Drosophila melanogaster: one gene and its partners. The protein of the gene in region 3 purifies or fractionates together with the protein of the main gene of each other region. This does not show direct contact. Each region holds a gene or a part of one and is shown on either strand. Other genes may lie near its edges.

What was found.
Region 1: the proteins of side (region 3) and beat-IIb purify together in Drosophila melanogaster (affinity purification with western blotting; one large-scale study listed by BioGRID). This does not show direct contact.
Region 2: the proteins of side (region 3) and beat-IIa purify together in Drosophila melanogaster (affinity purification with western blotting; one large-scale study listed by BioGRID). This does not show direct contact.

The regions. Positions count from the first base shown.
Region 1 is NT_033777.3:17,243,495-17,251,372, reverse strand, and holds the start of beat-IIb (beaten path IIb), read left to right. Parts: upstream 1-3,495; 5' UTR 3,496-3,834; coding exon 3,835-4,102; intron 4,103-7,878.
Region 2 is NT_033777.3:17,362,084-17,369,573, forward strand, and holds the start of beat-IIa (beaten path IIa), read right to left. Parts: upstream 4,037-7,490; 5' UTR 3,683-4,036; intron 1-3,682.
Region 3 is NT_033777.3:27,432,460-27,439,957, forward strand, and holds the start of side (sidestep), read right to left. Parts: upstream 5,024-7,498; 5' UTR 4,464-5,023; exon of another isoform or gene 3,731-4,463; intron 1-3,730. Other genes in the region: CG44290 (uncharacterized protein), read right to left, coding at 6,503-6,662.

The DNA of each region.
Region 1 (7,878 bases), about 10 Mb from region 3:
ATTATTTTCATTGTAGTTAATTATATTATATTAGTTATCCATTGTTGTGCTTAAACACATTATTGATCTTAAATTAATAGATTTAGCAACCCTTACACCTAATCAAATTCAATTTATCCAGATACACATCCTGTATCCTGACAAAACCGCATTTAAAATCCACTTTTTTCAGTGTACCCCCTTCTTTCCCAGCCCCATTTTCGAGTTGTGTTGCATGCGAGAAGCGTGCATAAAAATGTTCCATTCAAGTACTGGAATTAAAAGTAACGAGAGCCGCGCTGGCAGGAATGAAAATGTAAGGGAACCAGAAGCCACGAGCCCAGGAGCCAGCACTCCAAATGGCGTTGGCTTTATTCCGGCAATTGTCTGAGACAGTAACCTCGCACAGACACAGACACGCGGATGTGTGTTTTGCAGGGGGGGTGTACTGTACAGCCAACTCTTGAGCCGCTGTCATTGTCAATGTCTCCAGACAAATGCGCTCGAGATGCCTGAAATGGGGTAACAAGCGGATGGGTTTGAGTGCCCAGGCCATTCAGTGCCATGCCACGCTTTTCCAAAAAATGGGGAACAATAATTTTCGTGAAAAGTGGGTGATGGTGGGCTGGACTGGCTGGCTGCCTGGCTTTTCCCACGCTAATTCGCTGCACGCGCAATGCTAATCTGCTTTTAATTAAAACCAACTCGCACAGGCAAATGTCTAAGAGGCTTCCTGCCTTCAGTTAGCTAATTGTCTTTTGTCATTTGTCTTTTTGGCCAAAATATGCCAGCGACAAGCGACAGTGGCTTACAGCCACAGTTACATATGTGGCAATTCACTCGTCCCAAACGACAATTACAATACAAATGTTTCTCGTCCTGACGACATTGACTGTTTTAGTTTGGGCTGCAGAGGTTAAACTCAATAAGTGTATCAGAGCTAATTAAAATGAATAGAATTAAATACAGTGACAAGGGAAACAGGGAATTCAGATGGAGGAAGGCAAAGCCGCTTGTTTTTGGTTTCATTTCAACCTTATTTTTGTAGGCCGGATACAATTGGCATACACTTATTGTTGATTGTCACATATTTTATAAATTAAGCGTTGGAATGCGCCAACAGCGCTAATTTTTCAAAATATCCAAAATTATAAATGCAACGTAATTGCATTTGGTATTAGTTTTTTGCCTAGGTTCACAGTTCTTTTGTAGTTTTTCATATATGTAAGTTATTACTAATTATAAAAGAGTTTGAGAACCAAGTTCGATTTAAAATATTTATAATAAATACACTGACGGTGACAGAACATTAGTTGCAAAAGCTATGAACGCAGACCACAATTGCGTTTTTCGGCTTTTAACCTTTTAATGGCATGTTATAAATAAATTGTAAAATCACCTTCCTGTCCATAGTGTTTCGCAGTAAAGATAAATGCCAAAATATTAGGCAAAATCAATCAAATTGTAAAATCATTTAGGCACAAAAAAGTCGAAAGCAGCACAAGCATATAAAATATGTCAAACACAATTAATTATAAAATTCATAAAACAAAGCCACAGGCATAAAAACAACAATGTTGGCCATAAAAGCGTCAGAGAGGGGAAAATGCATGAAAAATGCGACAGACAAAATTATCATTCATAATAATTTGTACAAACAAACGGGGATGAGCTGGGGAAAAGTGGGGAAAAGGAAAATGTTTGCAACTGTAGCCTAGGTAAACAAAAGAACTGGGAGGGAAAGCGATGGGGCAATAGAATGTTTCACGCCGAGCCAACAATTACAAAAAATGATGTTTTATTTAAAATACCAGACAGGGGCTTTCTCGCTACAGGGAAGAGTAGCGATGGGGGAAGGGGAAGTTGGTGGAAACAGACAGGGAATAAAAATAACAATGCAACAGCAGTGATAATGTTGCCGGCAACACATGTTTACAGCAGCCAGAAAGAACCGCAGATACAACAACAACGGCTGGCAGCAGACTCAAAATCATCTCATTCCATTCCCTTCCCCTTTCAACCCATCGCTCAACCAGAAAATGTCAGACGCCTGTGCACACATTTTAATCAATAAACAAACGTGAAAATATGACAAACAAATTAATAAAATGCAGCAACGCCGGCCAGACAATGACAAAATATTATAAATGAATCGGAGGGCACTTCGGTATGAGTACGAGTGGGAAAAGTGGAGGAAAGTGCCGTGGAAAAAACAGGGGGGAAACGGTCTATATATAGAGCCGCAACATCCATCCCTTTCGCACCCGCCTCTCGACTAATTGTGACAATTCGGTCTCACACAAATGGCATAATAAATGTTGAGCAGAGGAAATGATGTGTGAAGTGCAGGCCTATATCCCCCTTAACCCACCGCTGGGCTTAACCCACTGCTACCCCTGCCCCACCCACCAATCAATGACCAAGCGGAAGTGATTTTTGGTTTCAGCGCACGATTTTCCGTCAGCTGGAAATGCATGGAACAATGCTGATGCTGCCCCAGCAATTAGCCAAACTTTGCATACACTGAGAGAAAAGCATGTTAGTAGAAGCAAACGGTAACAGGGTAAATAATAGTTGCAGAGGTTATACATTTTCTTCTTCCTAGAATGTTATGTTATCATTGCAAATATAGCTCTGTTAATTGAAAACACATCAACATGTTACTTATAAAATTATGTTATTGGAGTTTACATTAATAATAGTCATCAGTTAACTTTAGTTTACATCGAAAAGCGATTAATAAAACACTATAGAAAGTAATAGGAAATTTAGGTAGTGGCCCTTTTCTCTACGTGCGCCTTGGACAAAATGCCCTTCTTTGTTTTTGAAACAATTGGTGAACAATGCCAAAACAGGAAGCGGAGCAGAGAAGAACTCTTTTTTTTTTTGGATGGTGAGGGGCATGCTCGTAGTTTGAAGGACTGGTGGCAAATGTGCGGCTTCCTGCATTGAAGCGCATAATTGAGCATTGGGGAAAGTCGTAAATAATGCAAAACCCGATTGCTGGCGGCCGGCGAAATAACCAAATCCAAATTGGATGCCTTCGAGTGGACGGCCTGCTAATTAGTCCCCCGCCGATTGGGGAAAGGTCATTGGGCAGGGTGGGGTCGCGATACTTTGCTATCTCGGGTCCCTGAACGCATAAATCAATCCGGAAAAGGGTCGCGGCACGTGACGATCGCTGGAATTTTTATTTGTAACTTTGTGCACTTTACGAGACAGCAATAAAATTAATATTTCTGCCTGTGTCAACAACTAATTGAGGCATTTTCCTCCGTCTTCTTCCAGACATTGCAGTTCGTAGTTTTGGAGCAGCATATGAAGTAATTAGGAGGCGCACTAAAATCCCCCATAAACGTCAAAAGACAAACATTTTCGCGGAAGAACAACTGCAAGACAACAGCCATCGACGTTTTCCAGGCAACATGTTGCCGAGCGACAGCAGCGGCGGCGAAAGCAACATCAACATCAACTGACGGCAGCAACACCAACGGACAGCAGCAACATTCGAGCATTCAGTCGCAATTCTGACGATTGCGTGACGCGTTCGCATCGCGGCGATGAAAGAGACAGAATATCTCGCGAGGAAAGAGATCGAAATAGTGGCGGGCATAAAGTTTGAGTTTGACGTGCAAAATATAAATGAAAATTCACAAACAACTAATCGAAATACGTAATAAAGTGTGTGCCAACTCTGAGAAATATTTGAAAAATATATTCGTATAAATTACCAACGAACCACGGACACAAGCGGTCTGTCTCTGGGAATAATATAAATTAGCATAATTTAGCAAGGATTTGCCGAGACAAGCAGACATTCGTTTCGCACTTAATTAGTGTCCAAGCGCGTTGACAATGTGGCAGACACTATCAACTTTTAGCACATCACTCAGAGCAGCAGCAGCAGCAGTGGCAGCACAACCAGCAGCAACTTGCAACTGTAGCTGCAAGCTGGAAAACGCGGAAATGCACAGTCACATGTTGCCATCAGCAGAGATTGCGACAACGGCAGTGCGTAGGTGTTGCTGTCGCACAAAAATCACCCGCAGCAACAGCAGCAACTATAGTTGCAACTACGGCAGCAACGTGATCCAGTGGCTACTGCTACTGTGCCTTTTCTGTGGTAAGTACATATGTATGTAGGTAGGTGGTGGAAGGCGGCAAATGAGCCATGGTCGAGTGCAGTAAGTGACTTTTAACAAAACGCGCTTAAATGTCTCTGATTTAGTGCGCCACGCCCCCAGGGCAAAACTCGCACAAAAAACGCTGGGGATAAAGTGGAGAAGACAAACCGCCAAACCAAAGTGATATAGAGATGTGCTGAATAAAAAAAAGTGCTGCAGTTTTAGCCCTTGAAAAAGATATACACGGGGGGAGTCGGAAAAAAATAAATAAAAACGCTCAACACAAATCAAGATGAATTTCCGTGCATTTTTGTGCAGATTTCTGTACAGCTTTACCAAAAAAAAAATAAAAGGAAAAAAAAAGTAGAAGGGAGAGGAAAAACAGCAGAGACAAACACACATGGGCAGTCGGAAAAAAGGAAACCAACACACAAAGCTTGCTTTTGGGTTCTTTTTTCGCTCCAACTGCTACAGCAGCAAAAAATGGCTAAACAGCAAAGAAAAACATTTGAAAATAGCGCCAAGAAATGGAAGAAGATTAAATGGCAGTCGAGTTTGGGTGAGGGGGTGTTGGAAAATGTCGGGCGGTACGTCAGCGCAATATAAATTGACTCGTGTTTTTCATTTAAACGTTTTTGCCCCTCCCCCTACGTCCCATACGTTCCATTCGCTTTTTGCTTGGCTTCAATAATTCGACTGCAGCAGCTGCAGTTGCTGCCACTTAAACCTGAAATTAACTTTGGCCCACGAAAGTATGCAGCGAAGGAACATGGCAAATCGGGCTACGTGAGCCGGCCATACACGAATGTGCTGCACTGTACCGTCTGCACTTGTGGCTCTGCTTTTTTTCGTGGCCAGCCCTCTTGCCCATCCTCCGTGGTCCTCCTGTATGGCTTGATTATTTCGTTTGGAATTGATGCTGCCATCAATTATAGAAAACCACAAAGAGAAGCAAGACAGCAGGATGGGAAAAATGGATCCGGTTAGCAAGGCAGCGGAGTCTGATGCGAGTACATTGAGCGAAAAGGGGGGACACTGCTTAAGAACCTAAGATATTTAATATTCAGCAATGCACTGCTTTTATCTAATTAATCTAATAGATATTACATATATTAGCCATAGAAAAAGCGCATCTTAAGTGATTAGACATAAACTACATTTTCCGTGAGCCAGAAACCCGATGTTCGTTATCAAAACTTGGCTTCGATTTAATCTAGATCTAGAATTTTCCTCTTAAACCGCATTTCCCGCTCAGTGTGGACCAAGAGTAATGGACAGCTTGCAATTGAGTTTCCATTGCCGCTGGCTGATTGGTTGGTCGGATGGCTTTAAAGCCAACGCTTTGTAATCGATGGCCCCGCAAAAGCGCTGGCCAATGCTAAAATAAACCGAAATCAATTTGGTTAAGCCCCCCCGACGAGCAGGCAGTCCGACCGCCCACTTAACTAATCAGGATAAATAAATATTTATAATTAATTTAAAATATAAACAGCACTCAGCCCGAGCAGCGCAATTAATTTCGGCTAGTTTCGGTGGCCATGATTGGAATATCAGCGAGGAAGGACGAGTCCTTAGAACCGAAAGTGGAAAGTTTAATTTTGATAACAAGGCAAACAAGCAAAGTTCTCAACGCCCAAGATTCAGGCATATGAATAAATGACTGAATGCATGAATAAGCAATCAACAATAATGGCCCCAAGATGCGGAATCAGGCTTTAAGGAGTGGCTGGTGAATGGAAGGTGAGATGGGGATATTATGAAAATATATGCACAGCTCAGGGGCGAGGACTCCAGCGTCCAACATCCAGGACGCAACTGGCCATGGTCAAGTGCCTGAAGGTGCGAACGGGATGCCCAGCTAATGAGCCAAGTCATCAGGTGTCGACGCAATGGAGTGGGTGCTGGGTGTTGAGCAAGGTGACCCAACGGGGTTGGTGGAAAATGAAGGGAAATGGAAAATGCGTGAGCCTGCGCGTGCTTAATGAACTGCAATCAATGGACACTGCCAGTCGATAAGAAAACCGAAAGGCGTCAGATTGTGCGTGCAACATGGTGGTGACCGCAATTGCAAACAATCGACGAAACGAACACTTGCCGAAAATTAGTACAGTCCCAATACATTTCAAGATAGAATATGGTTCACTTTTCATTAAAATATAAACTAATTTCCGCTTTAAGAGCGACTTAATTGCAATTGAACATTATGCACCTATTTTAGACATGTTAACTGTATCTAAAACGCAGTGATATTTTCACTTAGGCCGATTGCAGGGCAGACAAATTGATAGCTAGTGATTTACAGAATCCCTGCCGAGATTTCCGCATTAATTACGCACATTTTGTGGAAATTTATTTAAGCACCGCAAAACATTAAAGGGGATGCACACGGTGGGGCATGGGGGGAAGCAGGGACATGGCTCACACCCTTTTGCTTGCGTGAATCGGTTTTGGGCGTGAAATTGCTTTCAACATTTAATTACAAAAGGTTCGTGCGGTGGTTTATTTCTGGCTCATCACCGCACTTTCATCGGACCGAATTCCCAACGCTATTCGCTGCAATTTGTTATCAGAACCCAAACACGCACCTCACCTGCGGAATGGCTGTCTTTGTTTACCTGGACGTGTGTGTCTGATGTTTGGGGATAAAATAAGGGATTAGTCCAAAAGGAGGCAACTTGTGTGTGCCGGGCAATTAGCCACAAAATCAATTTTACACAAAACAGCCGAGGTAATCAACGCCTTGAGCTCGAAACAAAGCGAATAATTCCGATCGGTTAGAGCCATTATCGATTGAAGCCTCTCAAGGTGCTTTCATTAAATTAAACTACACACATGTGTGAACAGAATAATAAACCACAAAAAGAGAAGCATAAACTATAATACTACAAGTATATTGTCAGCAATAATGGTAGCAGCATGGAGCCTTTTCTCCGGCTTTGTGCGCCAACTGTGTGATATAAAATATAATTGAATTGATATGACATGAGGCAATCGAAGTGGCATCTCCTACAGGCCCAAACAACAATGGTCGCCCACATGGCTGACATTCATTTTTATGTTTATTGGCCGCATGCAAATACCAAGCTCAAAAGTCGAAGATAAAAGTCCCACATATGCATGTATAGTTAAAGAAGATACGAACTCGTAACTGATGGCACAAGGCCTTACTCGAATGCAGAAATACATTTATAAAACGGGACGAACAGGAAGTAAATGAAGTATATCCGCGCTGAGGAATCAGATTTTGGTCAAAATTATTCATAAAATTATTTAATATTCTCTACACTCAGTTCGAAAACAAAAACATTACCACTTGTGATTGAATTATCTTCCGAAAATATGAATCATAACTAATCACAATTCAAGCATTTCCCTAATCCACATTATCGAGAAAAACATTGTTATGAACGTTCTCTGCTCGCTCCGCAAATATAATTTGTAATGACGAGTTTGAGTCCATTAAAATCCTCTAAAAGTATTCAGACACAGTGCTCACTGCTGGAATTAGCAATAAATGTTGGCCAAAAATGTTAGTTGAATGGCAAGTTTTCATAACGCATAAAAACTATAAAAACTTTTCAGCATTTCAATTCATAATTCAACACATAATTATATCATGCCGGCTTTGTCCATCGCCTGTATCTCCCTCTCTCTCAAACTTTAGCGCCCTCTCTTTCGCTCTTTTTCGGACAGTGGGTCGAGCGAAATATGTCAGAAACTTTTCAAAACTGTAACAGCGCCAATTTGTCTACAAAAACGTTGACCGTAGACCACT
Region 2 (7,490 bases), about 10 Mb from region 3:
TGCAATGTCAATTTGTGCACAAAGGGATAATAAGGATTTATGTCAAATGCTGGCGCTGTTTGAGTTTTGCCAATATTTTCACAGATGACTACACTTGCCTCAAGTGAAAATAAAACGCGGCTTAAGCAGCAGTCGCAAAAATAAAATAAACCCACCAACAATATTCTGGGAAAGGACAGACTCGTGTTTCATATCAGACTTCACTGGGAAAATAAGGTAATAATTCGGATTGAAATGGGATATGCCTAAGGATTCAAATGTACAAATTTGTTTGCAACATGAATATCTAAAACGCATTCATTGTGAAATTTAAACAAGTTGGTTTTTATTTATGAAAGGTAATCCGAAAATAACAATTGGTAAGTATGTATTAATGGTTGATAAGAATATGAATAATTTTTCACGAGCACTTCACAGCGCTCATAATCTCAGCTCTTAGCCATCGAACTTTGCACTCAGCCACCTAATGGCTACTTAACTTATTAATTTCCTGTATTAACAACAACCTCTTCGCAAGGAGCTCTCATTAAAACTGCATAAATACACCAGCCAAGCTATCAGAAAGCAATTTTGCCAATAGCTAGCCCCAAAAACCGCCCTCAAAACTCACTTGAAAAGTTTTCAACTTTCCGCCGACAGCAGCAACAACAACAACAACATAAGCAGTAAAGGAAACACTAAGGATACAACAACAATGGGCCGAACAAGCGCAACTTTTTCGAGCAGAGAGCTCAGAAAGTGCGCTTTGATGCTTTTACAAGTTTTTAGTGATTTTTTTATGTAGCCCGCTTTTGGGGCTACACACACACACAAACATAGAGTCGCCCAAACGCAGGCACACATACACACACACACACATACACACCGACAGTCGAGGGACCACCGAAAGCAATCAGTTTGCGGTACACAATGTGGAAAAGGGGATTCCCCCGGCTTGATAGAAATCATGCTGAGTTGTGAAACGTAAAATTGAATTTACTCTGCCGCTCTGCCCACATTACCCCACTCACACCGAGATTTTCCATGTGGCCGACAGTTTTTCACGCTTTTCCCCACCAATTGTGAGCGGGACAAAGTCTGCTGACTGCGTCGACCCGTTCCAGTCATAAATCATTGGGCATTTGCCATATGCAAAGGGCTATTGCTATCACTAAGTCCGGCATTAAACTCGGCTTTGACTTTCATTCACCCAAAAATATAACATGTACAGCTGCGTCCAAAACCCGAGTTATAGTTGGTCAAGAGCTATAATAGGCACGAATCTTTTTATTTTTGCTTAATCAAACTTGGAAATACTGCCAAATTTTAATTCAGATTGAGATAAGGATTCTTTTTCCCTTAACTTCTAATCCTTTGCTACTAATTCTTTTACCACTAATATTTCAAACAGCACTGTAGATTTTCTCACCATCGATACCCTTATCAAATGTACAACGTTTTCCTGGTAGGTGAAATTTGCTGGTTTTGCAAAAACAAAAGCTAATGATTTAGTCTATGTAAAATGTATATCTCAAGCCAAACTCTGCATGTAATCAGCTTAAAGTAGCCCAATGGAAGTGATTCAATTGAATCCGGACGAGTGGAGTTGAGTGAGTTGTCGACTGTCTATTGTTGTCTGTTCGGTTGAATTGTTCATGTAACTGTTGCGGTCTTGGCCATGTTTGCAGCCATTCCTGTTTATTTAAATGTAATTAATCTCAGTAGAGCTCAGACTTCGGACTGGCCGCAGATCCAGCTTTATCATCTCATTTGGATTCAGGTTGGGGCTTAGGCAATTAGTTGCCAGCTAAGTGGGCGCTGTTGAAAGTGGGCGGGGCCAGCGGCTCCTGTAAAATCTCATTTCCCTCGGCCCGGCAGGATAATCCTTATTTGGCTCTACAAGCCGTTTATGTTTAGTTTTTGGACCCTCATCTCCAGCGCCAGGGGAAATGGTATCTTCATAAACAATATAGATAAGTGAATAATCAGCAGTGGCCCACAGCTGGATGTTGAACAAGAGATGAACGATTAGTTCTGGAGCCCACTCATAAATAAGTTGTACTTCTGCAAACACCTTTCTAGATGTTTTAATTAAAAGTGCTTGTTTCTTTAAACTTGATTAAACTTAATTATAGCACACAGTGTTGCATCAGTATATAGGATTAATATATCTATTTTTTATTCATGGTGGGGAGTTTCTGATTATTCCATTTAAAATCCTTTTCCTTGCGTTCCATTTTTGTATCTGAAATGATTTTTTGCCAACGGTTTTGGCTTTAAAAGCGAACGCAATCTAACCGGCCCCAGTGTAATTAATCCAATTTCGTTGTGCGATATTTCACACTTAAAAATCAAACTCTGGCAATTTGTTACACTCCCTCGCACGCACCCGAGCACCCGAATCTGAACCAGGAATCCAACCCAAGCCCAAACCCAAACCGATGCAGAATACGAGCCAACGATACACATGAGACGACGCCGCTTGAAGCGTACTGAAGTGGAGCAAATGGTGAACGGAGATGGGGCGGATCGGATCGAATGGGATGGGATCGGGCGGGCGTTTGGTTGGTAGTACGTGAGCCCCGCCAAAAGTTGCGCAAATAAATGGCAGTGAAATTTTATAGCACACTTGATAATTTCAGCAATAATTCAGAGCGGCTAATCACCGCATAAATAATCTTAAGGACAGCCCTGCTAAGCTCCACTCGCCACAGCAAGTACATCGGACCAATGCGCATATATGCGCCCGATTTATATGTACTCGTATTTATTTGTCTACTTCGCACTGACTGTGCACAGTGCATGTGACGGTAGAAACAAAAAACAAACTAGGGGGAAAAACATCCAGAGACACTTGGAGACAAAAAAAAAAAGAACAGAAATTGAAATAGGAATAGGAATATATATGTACTCCGATATAGAGAAGTGATGGCTAAGCGGCGGAACAGAGAAGCAAACACGGACCAGCAGCATCCAAAACTCATGAAATCGAGAGCTCGCTCGAATGGAACGTGAGCGAAATTTTTGCTAACGAATGTTGACTCTGCCAAAGTACTAAAATCAAATAAAGCCAACAGCTACAACCAAAACAAAAACAGCAAATCAAACAAAATCAACAATCACTTGGTAGAAGTTAGCCCAAGTTGATGAAGACAAACGCTGGACTGCGCCAAACGGAGACGAAGTTTTCGGACAAACTATTCGGTCATATTACAAAAAATTAATATATAGATATAGAGCATCGCCAACTTGTGGATCAGTCAGTATTTAGAAGGAGCAAACAAAAGCCGTAAATCCATAAAATTAACTTTCAGCTGGCAAGTCACGGTTACGGGGTCCCAACTCAAGATCCTGTTTTTGGTATTGTCTGACTGTCAGTCTGTCAGTGGAAAAACAACGAGGACCACAAAAATGTAGGTTATACACATACACACACACACAAATACACAAGCTCACGCATACACACAAATAAAATAGAAGGAGATACATTGCGTATACGCCGCATGTGCCACGCGAATAGCGGAAAAGAAATAAAAGGCAGAAAAACAACAAAATAAGAAATTTAATGCGAACGCTGCGTGAACCGAAAGTTTAAAGCCAACCAAATGGCAGTCAGGATGGCAATAATTTGTATAACTTTATGACGGCACAGGATCTAAGACTCCTATGCCCCCGAAAAATTAAACTTGCTTGAATAATTTACCAGCAAATTCGCAGACTCCAACTCCAAGCGTGGTGGTATCACTTGATTTTATTTTTCGAGTTTAACTGACGCAATGTTTGAACACTTTTCAACCTAAGCACTTTTCCTTCGAATTGTTTGAACTTGATTATATCAGCGAGCTTTGCACTTTAATGTATTTCCTCTATGGGGCTAACATTCACTCTCATATTTCCTTGGGTGTTTTTGTATTTTTTTCTTATTTTTTATGATTTTTGTTTTTATTTTCCGCACCAAACAATTCGCTGGCCAGGCTCGTGGAGCACGGCGATGGCTTCCACTTTCCACTTTCACTGCCAAACCGACCGTTAAATTCAACGTTCGCCACGCATCTGACTGATTTGCTCGCTGGCCATCAGATATGCACGGAGGCTGTGTACACGCACCCAGAAATCGGAGTCGGCATATTTCGTCACCCGAACGACGTCCTCGCCTCCATTCGTGGGCATTCGTGGTCTCCGACTCTCGTTTCCGGACGGATTGTATAACACTGGGCCGTGATTTTGAATCGGCTAAGAGAGAATGTCCCTGGAATTCGCCGTGTTCGGTGCAAGCCTTTCTGAGTTACCTATGGTCATGGTTAAGAGAATTATGTCTGTGAAGAGAATCTCGGAATCAGCTGAGCGTAGAACAGTTATCTGGGCGAGGGAAAGGTCCTTCATCGTCTGAGGATAATAGTGGGAGCAGACTTTTGAAATTAACAGCTGTTTCTGTTGAAGTGCGCAGAAGCAGATTAGGTATAAAAACAGTAAAAAATAGTGGTAACAGAACAAAAGCTGGTTTTTGATAACCGTATAGATAGTAATATAAAGGCAATCAAGATTCGCATATGCACTTTTAGTGCGAAAAGTTAATGCATTATAATTACATACCACAAAAAAACGTGAGAATCATCTTATAGTTGTTCCATACTATTTTAGCGCCTTAATTTCGTTATTTTTATAATGAGAATGTTTTGAATTTGCCAAGCTAATGAATTTCCGAAATATTAATCCCAATTTACTATTAATTATGCAAGTGAAAATGGCTGGCAGTTTCTCATATCCAATATTAAGTACCTTTCCCAGAACGATGCACTCATAAAACAGTTCCATGCCCCCCAACCACCCAATCACCAAAAACTCTGTTCGCCGTTCTCGGGGCACTCAAATAAAAATGATTGTGCGAAAGACGTAAAGCAAACAGCCAAGTCACAGATCAATATAATGAACCACCGAAAACCAAGCCAGAATCCGCAACAAATTGCCGGGGAGTCGGAGGCTAACGCTGCAGTGGCTCAATGTGGATTTTGATTTAAGTTTTAGCACTGCCGCGCACTTATCGAGCAATTGAGGAACAGGAACTGCGGGGGACAGGGGATGTCATATGCGGCATTCCAATGAGAGCCGAAAGTTATTTGCAATACACGAATACGAATACGAATCGATACGATATGGCCACCCAAAGTTGATATATGTGCGGCGAGCTGGTATCATCCCAAAGTGCACATCATGATTTTATTAAATGGACTCTGATGTATTTATTGTCCAGCAACAACGTGACTTGTGAATTGATTTCATTAAACTGAAAAAGTTAACAAAGCATCGCAGCTCGGCCCCGGCAACATTTTTTGGACAAAGTTGCCCAGATACCCGGATCGCCGGATAGCCATAGCCATAGCCATGGCCGTGCAGTCCGGCCGTATATCGCCATATAGATAAATATTTTTTTATAGCAATATGTGCGAGTGTGTGCTGGCTTAAGGACATCTATCGTTAGTGGCCAGGAGTGGAGACGAAGGATGAGTGAGCCTCAATGACCAATGGCAACAGCGGCGCGCATCGAGCGTGGAATATCAATGTAGTCGAGTGGCCAGGAACGGAACCATCACCAAAACGAGCACCATCCAAATTCAACCAACTGGCTGCCTGCCTGACTGACTGACAGACTGACCGAATGTCAGTGTGGTCCTGGCCTGCCATCCTGGATGGTTCTTGGCCCGAACTGCTTTTTGTTGACCGCTGTTCGCCACAAATTGCCAAATTGTGTGAGTGTGCGGCTTTGGCTTTGGCTTTCGATTTGGCTACGGCTTTGGCCAGTTTCATTTTGTACAAATAATGATGATAATGTTGATGCGGCTGTTGACTTAACGCACATAACGCTGATTAGCCACATAGTCCGAGAAAGCAATAGCATTCCCCATATGCTCTGGGTCTTAATTGAAGTGATACCAATTTAGCCCCAGATTCCAGAAATGGTACGCATATATAATGTATTCCACGTCCTATAAAATGCTAAGAAAATATGTGAGTAGTTCATATCATTCATATCGCACTTATATATCCTTTAAATTGATTATATATTTTATAGTTTTCTATAGAGTATATTGTGTAAAATGAAACAGTTTTGAGACTCTATGGGTAAGATAATAATTGCACCTGTCAAAATCCCCATCCACTTTTCTATACTTATTTTCTCTTGGGATACCCTTGGCATGCGATTGCACTTAAACAATTTCTATTAAATGCGCTTTTAATTGCAGTCGAGGGTATTCTTGAAACATTTCAATGGCAACGACTCCGGCCAACGCGGCGTATGCGCGATGCTCGAATAAAAGCTAATTTCAGCATTAAACAAACGCCGCCTCTTGCCCTTCTAAGCACTGCGAATTATACTTGAATAGCGAAGTGAAATGGGAAATGAAAAATTGCCAAGTAGAATGGAGAATGTTTACAGCGGACAGACGCCGCCACGCCCCTTCACTCAACGAACTCCCACTTTCTCCTAGCCGCTTCCTTTCGCTTCTAGCCGCTTTGCTGTTGTTGCATTGTAAGTTGTCCTGTTTTATAAATGTTGGCGGCAAGAACCACTTACATGAGCCATTTGCATCATATTTCTGTTGTCATTTGTTGACATTTTACTTGCCTTGTCCTCCCAGCATGTGTGTGTGTGCAGACACTTAATGTGCAGTCATTATTTTCCAAGAAACAAGCTCAGTAGCAAGCCAGCGGAAAAACAACAACATGACTACAAAAACGGGGGAGCACAGTGCAAAGGCAAAAGGCAGCAGAGCAATAAAAAACCAAATGTAAAAACGTTTCACATATAAAGCGGAAAACAGCACTGCTGGAAAATTCCGAGCCTTGGGTTCCGAGAATTAATCTATCTCTATAACGTTGAAAGTTTAAGCAAATTAGATTACTGAAATAGTATTGAAGTACCTGATATAATAAGTTCATTATCTAAAAAATAGTTTGATTTCAAAAGAGTGTATATGTTTATATTTTCACTTTTGCACAATGCACTTTTCTTCAGTGAAGTGAATAAAAATATGATGCCACCACCCACAACCACTTTGACAAGCGAGCGAGAGAAAGAGAAAGGGCGAGAACGGGAGACAGAGACAGAGAGGCCAACAGCGAAGGAAATGAGACAGCAGCGGCAAGGGTTCATCATTGTTTGCCTTTGGCCTGGGCCCAGAACTTGGCTAATTGCCTCGGCCCCGACTATCGTTTTTCACCAATCAGGCGAGTGAGTATTAATTAATTATCTTACCATATGCCATGCTGCATTGAAAGCAGAATTTTCGCTGATTTTTATTTAACTTTGCACGCTAATTAGCGTCCATTCTGATGGCATCCTTTTTTGGGGGGGGGGGGGGAGCGGGGCAGTTTGGCTGGGCAAGGATATGGCCAGGATCTGTCTGTCATGGCCTGGCAGTTGGCTCAACTTCAGTATGAAGTTTTTCTCATGCTTTTCTTGGATTCGAGGGTGCTAGACTAAAGTTTGCGAATAGAAGTTTATTCAAGTT
Region 3 (7,498 bases):
TTCGGAGACCTTCTCACTCGGCAAATGTGACCACTTGACCATAATAGTTATTTAATTTCAAATCGATGGCATGCAAATTCCTCTGCATATTCGGCAAAAGTAAAAATAATCTAATTAATATTTATGAAAGCAGCGACGACGCTCTTTGCATAAATCAACAGCATTTGAATAATAAATACGAATTATGCATTTAATTAAGATTTGCCACAAAAATCCACATTCAGCGGTTCGCTGCGATTCGAGGCGGCTGGGGAGCGAGTGCCGGGGCAAATAGCGATTCATCGATTCCATTTCCATTTTCCCCAAAATTTTCCTCCTCTCCCCTGTCATTTTTTGCCATTGTCTACCTGCATGTGTGTATGTGTGTGTGTGTGTGTGTTTGTTCGTTTTCGGGCTAGCGAGATTTTGATTTCCTCAGCTTGCATCAGTCAAAGCGAAGCATCGGGCGACATTCGAAAAAAGCAAACCCAAATCGAACCCACGAACGCCGGGCGTTTTCAATCTAAATGCAAATGCTAGCGGTGTGCTTTTTGTTTCATCCTTGAGCCGCGACAACAGCAACAGCAGCGGCAGCATCATCCGCAGTAGCAGGAGCAATTCAGTTGAAATCGCAACACAGAAAGCCAATTAAGCGACTCAGACATTAATCGAAGCTCGTTGCAGATATCGCAACGGGAGAATCTCTTATAAAAAAGCAAGGTAAATGCAATTCGCCGTGTTTAATGCAAAAATCGCATTTGGTCAACAGCAATCCGCATCAGTGGAATCGTCCTTTTTGCTCGCACTCCTTTACACGCAAATTTTTTGAGCATCTTTATCAGATTTTTATTGTTATTACTTTATTATAATTATATACAAGAGGATTCTCAAAAGTAAAACTATTTTTAACTTGAAATGAAAAATTATTCGAATTTTTTAAAAACGTATTTTATAATTTATAAGAATTATCATATTCCAAAGTTCAAAGTTACTTGTAAATTTTGCTCTGTGTACTCGTTTTGCCCATACCAAGTCGATGCCAATGTAACTGGATGGCCATGTTAATGCCCATTTCCAATTCAATTGGTAATGTTCATGTTGGCTCCATAGTTTCTATTGCATTAAGGGCCAATAAAAATTTACAAGCAACCTACACGAGATTTTCCCACCGGGGGGGGGGGGGAGGGCTTTTCCTCTGCTTAAGTGTGTTTGACATGAGATAAGCTCGTTTTTCCCGGCTCGCCTCATTTGTCTCGTTTACAAAGGCAGCCCGAGCAAATTGATAAATTATGGCACAGCCGCGGACAACGGCGCATTGAGATCGAAAGCAGACCAGAATTGCCGGCAATTAGCCGAGCAAAGGCAATTAGCATTATGGGATAAGAGGTGCCCGAGCCTAGAACAAGTCCATCGCCATCCAGACACTTGAGTTTTGGAAGCGGGGTCAAGGAATGCCAGATCCAACTGCAATTGAGACGTGTAAGGTCAACGAAAGTCTGGAGCTGGAGCCCACGAAAAGCCCAGGACCATTGATATCGATGCGTATGCAAATCACGACGAGCACTTTGGCGGCATTAGAATTACAAATATCCGTGGAGGGGATTTTCCACATTCGCCGGCCGCAAGGGCGACGATTGCTCGAAAGCTGCGACGTGACAACACGCAAATAAAATCGAAGCCTACCCATCATCCGGCAGATACGGCTCGTGGAAATAGATACAATGTAAATATGCAAAGTCGGGGCAAAATACATAAATCAGCACGTGGGGGCGATTCGCTGTGAAATGAAATGCAAACAGTGGCGAAAACCAAGATGCGGAAGCATAATTGAACTCTAAGTCGGAGCTGCGAAGGCGAAGCTCTGCAGCTCCAGACACTCTCTACTCATTAAAGGCAAATGCAATTTACGCCGATAATTTGCAATAATTTGCATACTACGTGCGGTTGGCGAAAGGGAGAGGGGCGGGTGGTGAGCGACGACATTTTCCGCTGCACCTGGAAAACCGACTCGCACAACCAGCCACCCACCACTCGCTCAATTTTCCCACTCAGCTTAGCCGCCCACGTTGCACTCTACGTGCTCCAGCTTTTTAATTGCACGGCTTAGCCGAGGCGCGTTGGCATTTTGTAAATTTCGTTAATTGGAAAATGTGCCAGGATTCATTTTCATCTATTTCCCAAATGCCCCGAACGCCATGCGTCGTGATCCCGAGCGGTGTCAGCTGGCGAACTCGGCTCAAACTGGATTTATTTTATTGCGGGCTAAATGGAATTTCCAAAATGGTTATCGCCAAAAGCGTTGCCATTCGCTTATCCTGCATGCAGGAGTCTCTTCATTATGCACAAGTCGCTCGCTGAATGTTTTCTACTTTCGGTTGCCATCCTGATTGTATTTATCCATAATATTTATCCATTTTGACGAAGCCCTCGAGGTGTGAAGCAATTGTTCGGGCTGCAGGATTTATTATGCATAAAATTGCAGCATAAAGTCAAATAAAATATGTATTGAAAGTTTTATTGTTTGGCAGCCGTTCTGCAGCAGCGATGCCAACGCTTTTCCCACTCCCACCATTTCCCTTTTCCCGCTCACATATTTGCACATAGTACACATTTCATGCGGAACTGACGCTTGTGTGACGCTAGCAGCATTTTGTTTAAAATTGAATTCCTTCAATGCATTTACCTAAATTTAATTCCTTCTCATGCTGCTGCCCCAAAACTTTCTGTTCGCAATTTTTGCCACGCTCCGCTTCGCTTGGTTTTGTTTCGCTTTGTTCGTATTTTCAACTTTGTGTGGGTGATTTTGAGTTCGCTTTATACCATATATGTACATACATATGTATATGCTCTGGGCTTCTATTTGCTTTAATGAAGCCGAACTCTCTGGACAGGCTAGCATATACATATATGGCATATGGCGTATATACGTGCCGACACTGGCTCAGGATCAGGATCGGGATCCTGGTAGGAGGGCTGTTGGCTTTGCAAATATCCTGCGGCTGTAGCGTTTATATGAGAGCTTATTATTCCCTCTTATATTTTGCCACTGGTTGGAAACGGAGCTGCGCAGTGGATTTTGTGATTTGCTTTTTATGTGTGCCACCATATGGGGCAGTAGCCAGGAATCCAAGAATGGGGCCACGCACATGGAAAACTCCCATGTTGGATGCAAGGCGGCAAGAGGCGCTTAGCGAAATTCATGCAAGGATTTCACTGGATTGTTGCCAAGGTTGCTCAGCTCGCAAAAAATATGCCGCTAAAAAAATGACGAGTGGAGTGAGTGGGGAGCAGGAAGTAGATTTAACGTTTTTAGTAATGGATTTATCAAGAAACCGTAGTTGAAATCTGATTCGGTACTGTCAGGAAAGAGCGAAGTGAATTCAACAAGCCAAATTTAATTGGGTAATAATAAAGAACTGGCTAAATATATGTTATAGTCTAAAAATATAATTCACAAGCAGCAAGAAAAATTCTACCAAACTAATGACTTTCTTGGCCTAATTTGTTTTCCTTTCCTATAGCAACGACATAAATCTCAGCTCTCAAGTGACCATCACAACAGCATTCCACTCAAAGATGAAAATTTGAAAGGCAAACAAATCTGTCCCATAAGCAAACCCCGGCTGTCTGTGGATCCTGGCTAGCTGGCTGGGATCTGGATGGGATGGGATGCAATGGAATGGCATTGCGAATTGAAGGCGCAGCTTCCGGAGCACGGACTTATGGCTACAAATCAGAAGGACCAACTTACCCCCGGCTGCTCTTTGGCTTTCCCTGGCTAGCTAATCCAAAGGACAGAGGAACTTTCAAGGCCTTCCAACTGGCAAGTTTAATTTATGTTTTTGCTTGGCCAACAGATAGAGAGCAAAACTTTTGCTGCTCGCAGCTATTGTTCCAATGCACTGACCCGTATTTGCAAAGATGTCTGCATAAGCAATTTGTATCTTGTATCTACTATCTTTGTATCTTGCGGATGCTCCGATGCACTTTCACTTTGCCCCGCCAGACGATGGCAATTGTGATAAATTATATGCCACGCGACCGATCGGATTGGATCGTTTCATATCAGATGGGAATCATAATCAAAACCGAAGGGGGCAGGCTGTACGGCCGACGAACTGTTGCGCCCACTCTCACACACACACACACTGATATACTCATATATATACTGACCACTACAAATGAAACCGCAGTGTGTTATTGTGTCATTAATTTGTGCGCTCTCTTTGTGTGGGAATACTCCTTTTTATTGCTGCTTTTTTTGGCGCTTAAAGTGCGAAAACTGACTGGAATTAATTGATGATCCGCACGCAGCTGGAGTGCGGTATTGGTATTGTTGGTTGATTGGGAAATGGAAAATCGAAAATGGGAAATCGTTAATGAGGCAGAGTGACGCGTTCACATTTCCATATGATTTAATGATTTACTTCGGGGGTCCTTCTATCTGCTCTACTACGCACTTTTACGAATTTTCCGCAACTCACTTTTCAGTCTTGCTGTTTGTTTGCCCGCACTTGGAGTTTCATTTTCATTCGCATTTTCCGCTTTCGGCTGTTATTGCTGCTCGTAATCCGCTTTTGCCCTAAATTTCGATTTCCTTTCGCTTTTTTTTTTGCACTGCAGTTATTTCGAACTTCGCTTTTTCCAGTTCTCTTCAAGTGTTTTGATAACTTGAGTGTATTATTATTTTTCCGGCACGTTGTGTTAATTCGTTTCTTCTTTTTTTTTCGTTGTTGTCGTTGTTGTTTCTGGTGGGCGGTAGGGGCGCGGCACACGAAACGTAAACGATGCGCAGCACTTACGGCGCTCGAGAGTCACGCACAAATGGTCCGCCGCCGCCTCCTATTCCTCTAATTAGCCACATAAATTGCAAGTTGGCCAGGGCCAAAAGAATTCAAAACACACTGTCTAGAGAATCGCAATCCCTGCTGAGTAGTGGTGGCAATAGTGGCAAGCGCCAGCAATGGCACAGATATATGTAGCCAAACACGCTATCGATATATAGAGCAGCACCCGCACGACGAACCAAACGCTGTGAGCCACGGATAAGAACTAAACAACATTCGCAGCTGCCGCTGCTCGGCTGCTGCTGCTGCTGCTGCTGCATGTTGTTGCTGCCGCTCGTTGCTGCTCGCTGCTGCTGCTACGGGGTAGCAACACATGCCGCATATCATTCACGATTTTTCACTTCGGACGGCGACGAGCTTCGGATCACGAGTCCTGCCGCGCTCTCTCGTGCCGCATGTTGCTCGTGCGAGTCCTCGTGCAACATGCGGCCAGGACGTGACCTTTGGCAACTGGTCGAGTGTTGTTTTGGCTCTCGGGCGCGCTTGCAGCCAATTAATGGGCCACTCGCCATGTGATTTATTGGCACCGCTCATAAGTCCCCCCCCCTCTTTGCCCAGACAGGATAAACAAAAAACACATGCATAATTTCCATAAATCTTTTATGGCTGCGTGTAAAAACTTTCGGCTGGGCCAATTATGCGGACCGAACTAGGCACTAATTTGACAGCAAAGTGCCCAAAAGGCTTTATCCCTCCTTGGGGGTCAGCCTAGGTCAACTCTGGCCACCCTCCACTCCGCCGTCGTTCGAATCGTGTCCATAACTTACCACATAATTGAGTTATCCCCCGGTTAGGGGCATGAACAAGCTTTTGTTGTCGTCCTGGCGAAGGATTATCAATGGCCTTTGAGCATTTACTATCGCCCGGTGGTTTTGCTGCTTGAATTGCTCAATTTTGTTCGGGCTTTGATCTGTCGTAAGCTGTGGGTAATGATGCACTTAGCCATTATTGGTTAATTTTAATTGGGCGTGTGACACGCTTTAGACGCTTAAGAAATGTATGCATGCATGGCATCCTGTTTCAATTCTAGGAGTTGTAAAATCGATTAAATGAATTAATATAAATAATAAATTAAATAAATAAATTCTTAAGTACTCTGGTATGCAAATAAGCAAATCAATATATTTACTTAGGGTTAATAATACGTTGATTGAAAATAAGAACAATTACAGCTTTCCATGGTAAAATGAACTTATTTCCCCTTTTAACTCAATTGCCCTTAGGCACATGCAACATGTTGCTACAACACATAGGAATGTTTCAGAACAATTCCATTATTCCGCTCTCTCGCAGCATTGTTGCGTTCGTTAAGTGTTGAGGGACAATGATGAAAGCAACATTTGCTAAGGAAACACGAATATGTTTTCAAATTGCCACATAAAGAAGAAAAGTTTATTGAATATAATTGGTTCATATTTTTAGAAGTTAAATTTCAAATTCAATTAATATACATCCTTTCTCTTGTTATGTTCTTGCTTTCTTTTTTAATTATAAATGAAACTGAAAACTATAATAAAATAAATTCAACTAGCTTATTTTAAATACAACTTTTTTCCAAAACTTGTGAACTCAGTGAACTCAGCTTCCGGCTGGCCATAAAAATATTCGCCACTGTTGGGAAATGGGAACAGATTGTCGCATGGTAATGCAGTTGCACCTGCCAAGCTGTTGCACCTCTAAGCCACCAAGCCACCCAGGGCACTTCGATGGCAGCTCGGCCTCCACTTTTCCCGGGGCATTAGCCTTTTATGCAGCAACGTTGATGTTGCAGCTTCAGCTGCTCGCCCGCGGCAACCTTCACACCTATGCACATGACGCACTCGTATTGTATGGCCACTGCAGAAGCAGAAATGTTAGAAAATAGAAAGAAAATGGCATAGGAAAAGAAAAGAAAAGAAAAGCGCAAATAGGATCAAGGATAACAAGGGCATAACAAATGCAATGCAGGCAAGTGGCATGGGAGCATTGCAAATGCTTTTAAAGCAATACTTGATGCCAGCTGATTGAGTGACTAATGGGCTGGCTTTTAACCGAAGGAACCCCATAAAGGAAGTTTCATTGGGTCACGATGGCTAATTGGCACGTGCTCGCACCCCAAATGCTCCACTAACTCACTTTTAGTTTCAATTTTCATACAAAATATACATGTAACTGAAATGCAATACGTTTTCACCCCAAAAATTTTAATTCCATTTAGAAAATGACACATATTATTTATATTTTTCAATTAGAAGCTTTCCAAAACTTTCCCCAAATTAAATTTGCTGTAAATTAATCATCATTTCAGATATTTCTTTTCGGTGTGGCTATGACATTTGTGCATTTGTCTTGCAGTGGAAATTTGTTTGCCGAGTGAAAAAACCTAGCTTATTTCATTTTAATTGCTTCACAGTCGCAGGACTCGGCACACACACACACGCGCACTCAAAAGGAGAGAAAGAGGATAAGACACACACACAATCAACTAATGCGGTTGTGTGCCATCCTTTTGTCGGGTTGTGTGTGTGCTCATTAAAAAGCGAGGCAGCTACGCAGAAAAGCGACATTTGCATAAAATGCCACTGTGTGTGTGTGTATGTGTATGTGTCCCGAAAGCTGGAAAAGCGTGCCACTGACACACAACTGTCACTCACACGCACTCAGACACAGGACTCTCCCACACACACAAACAA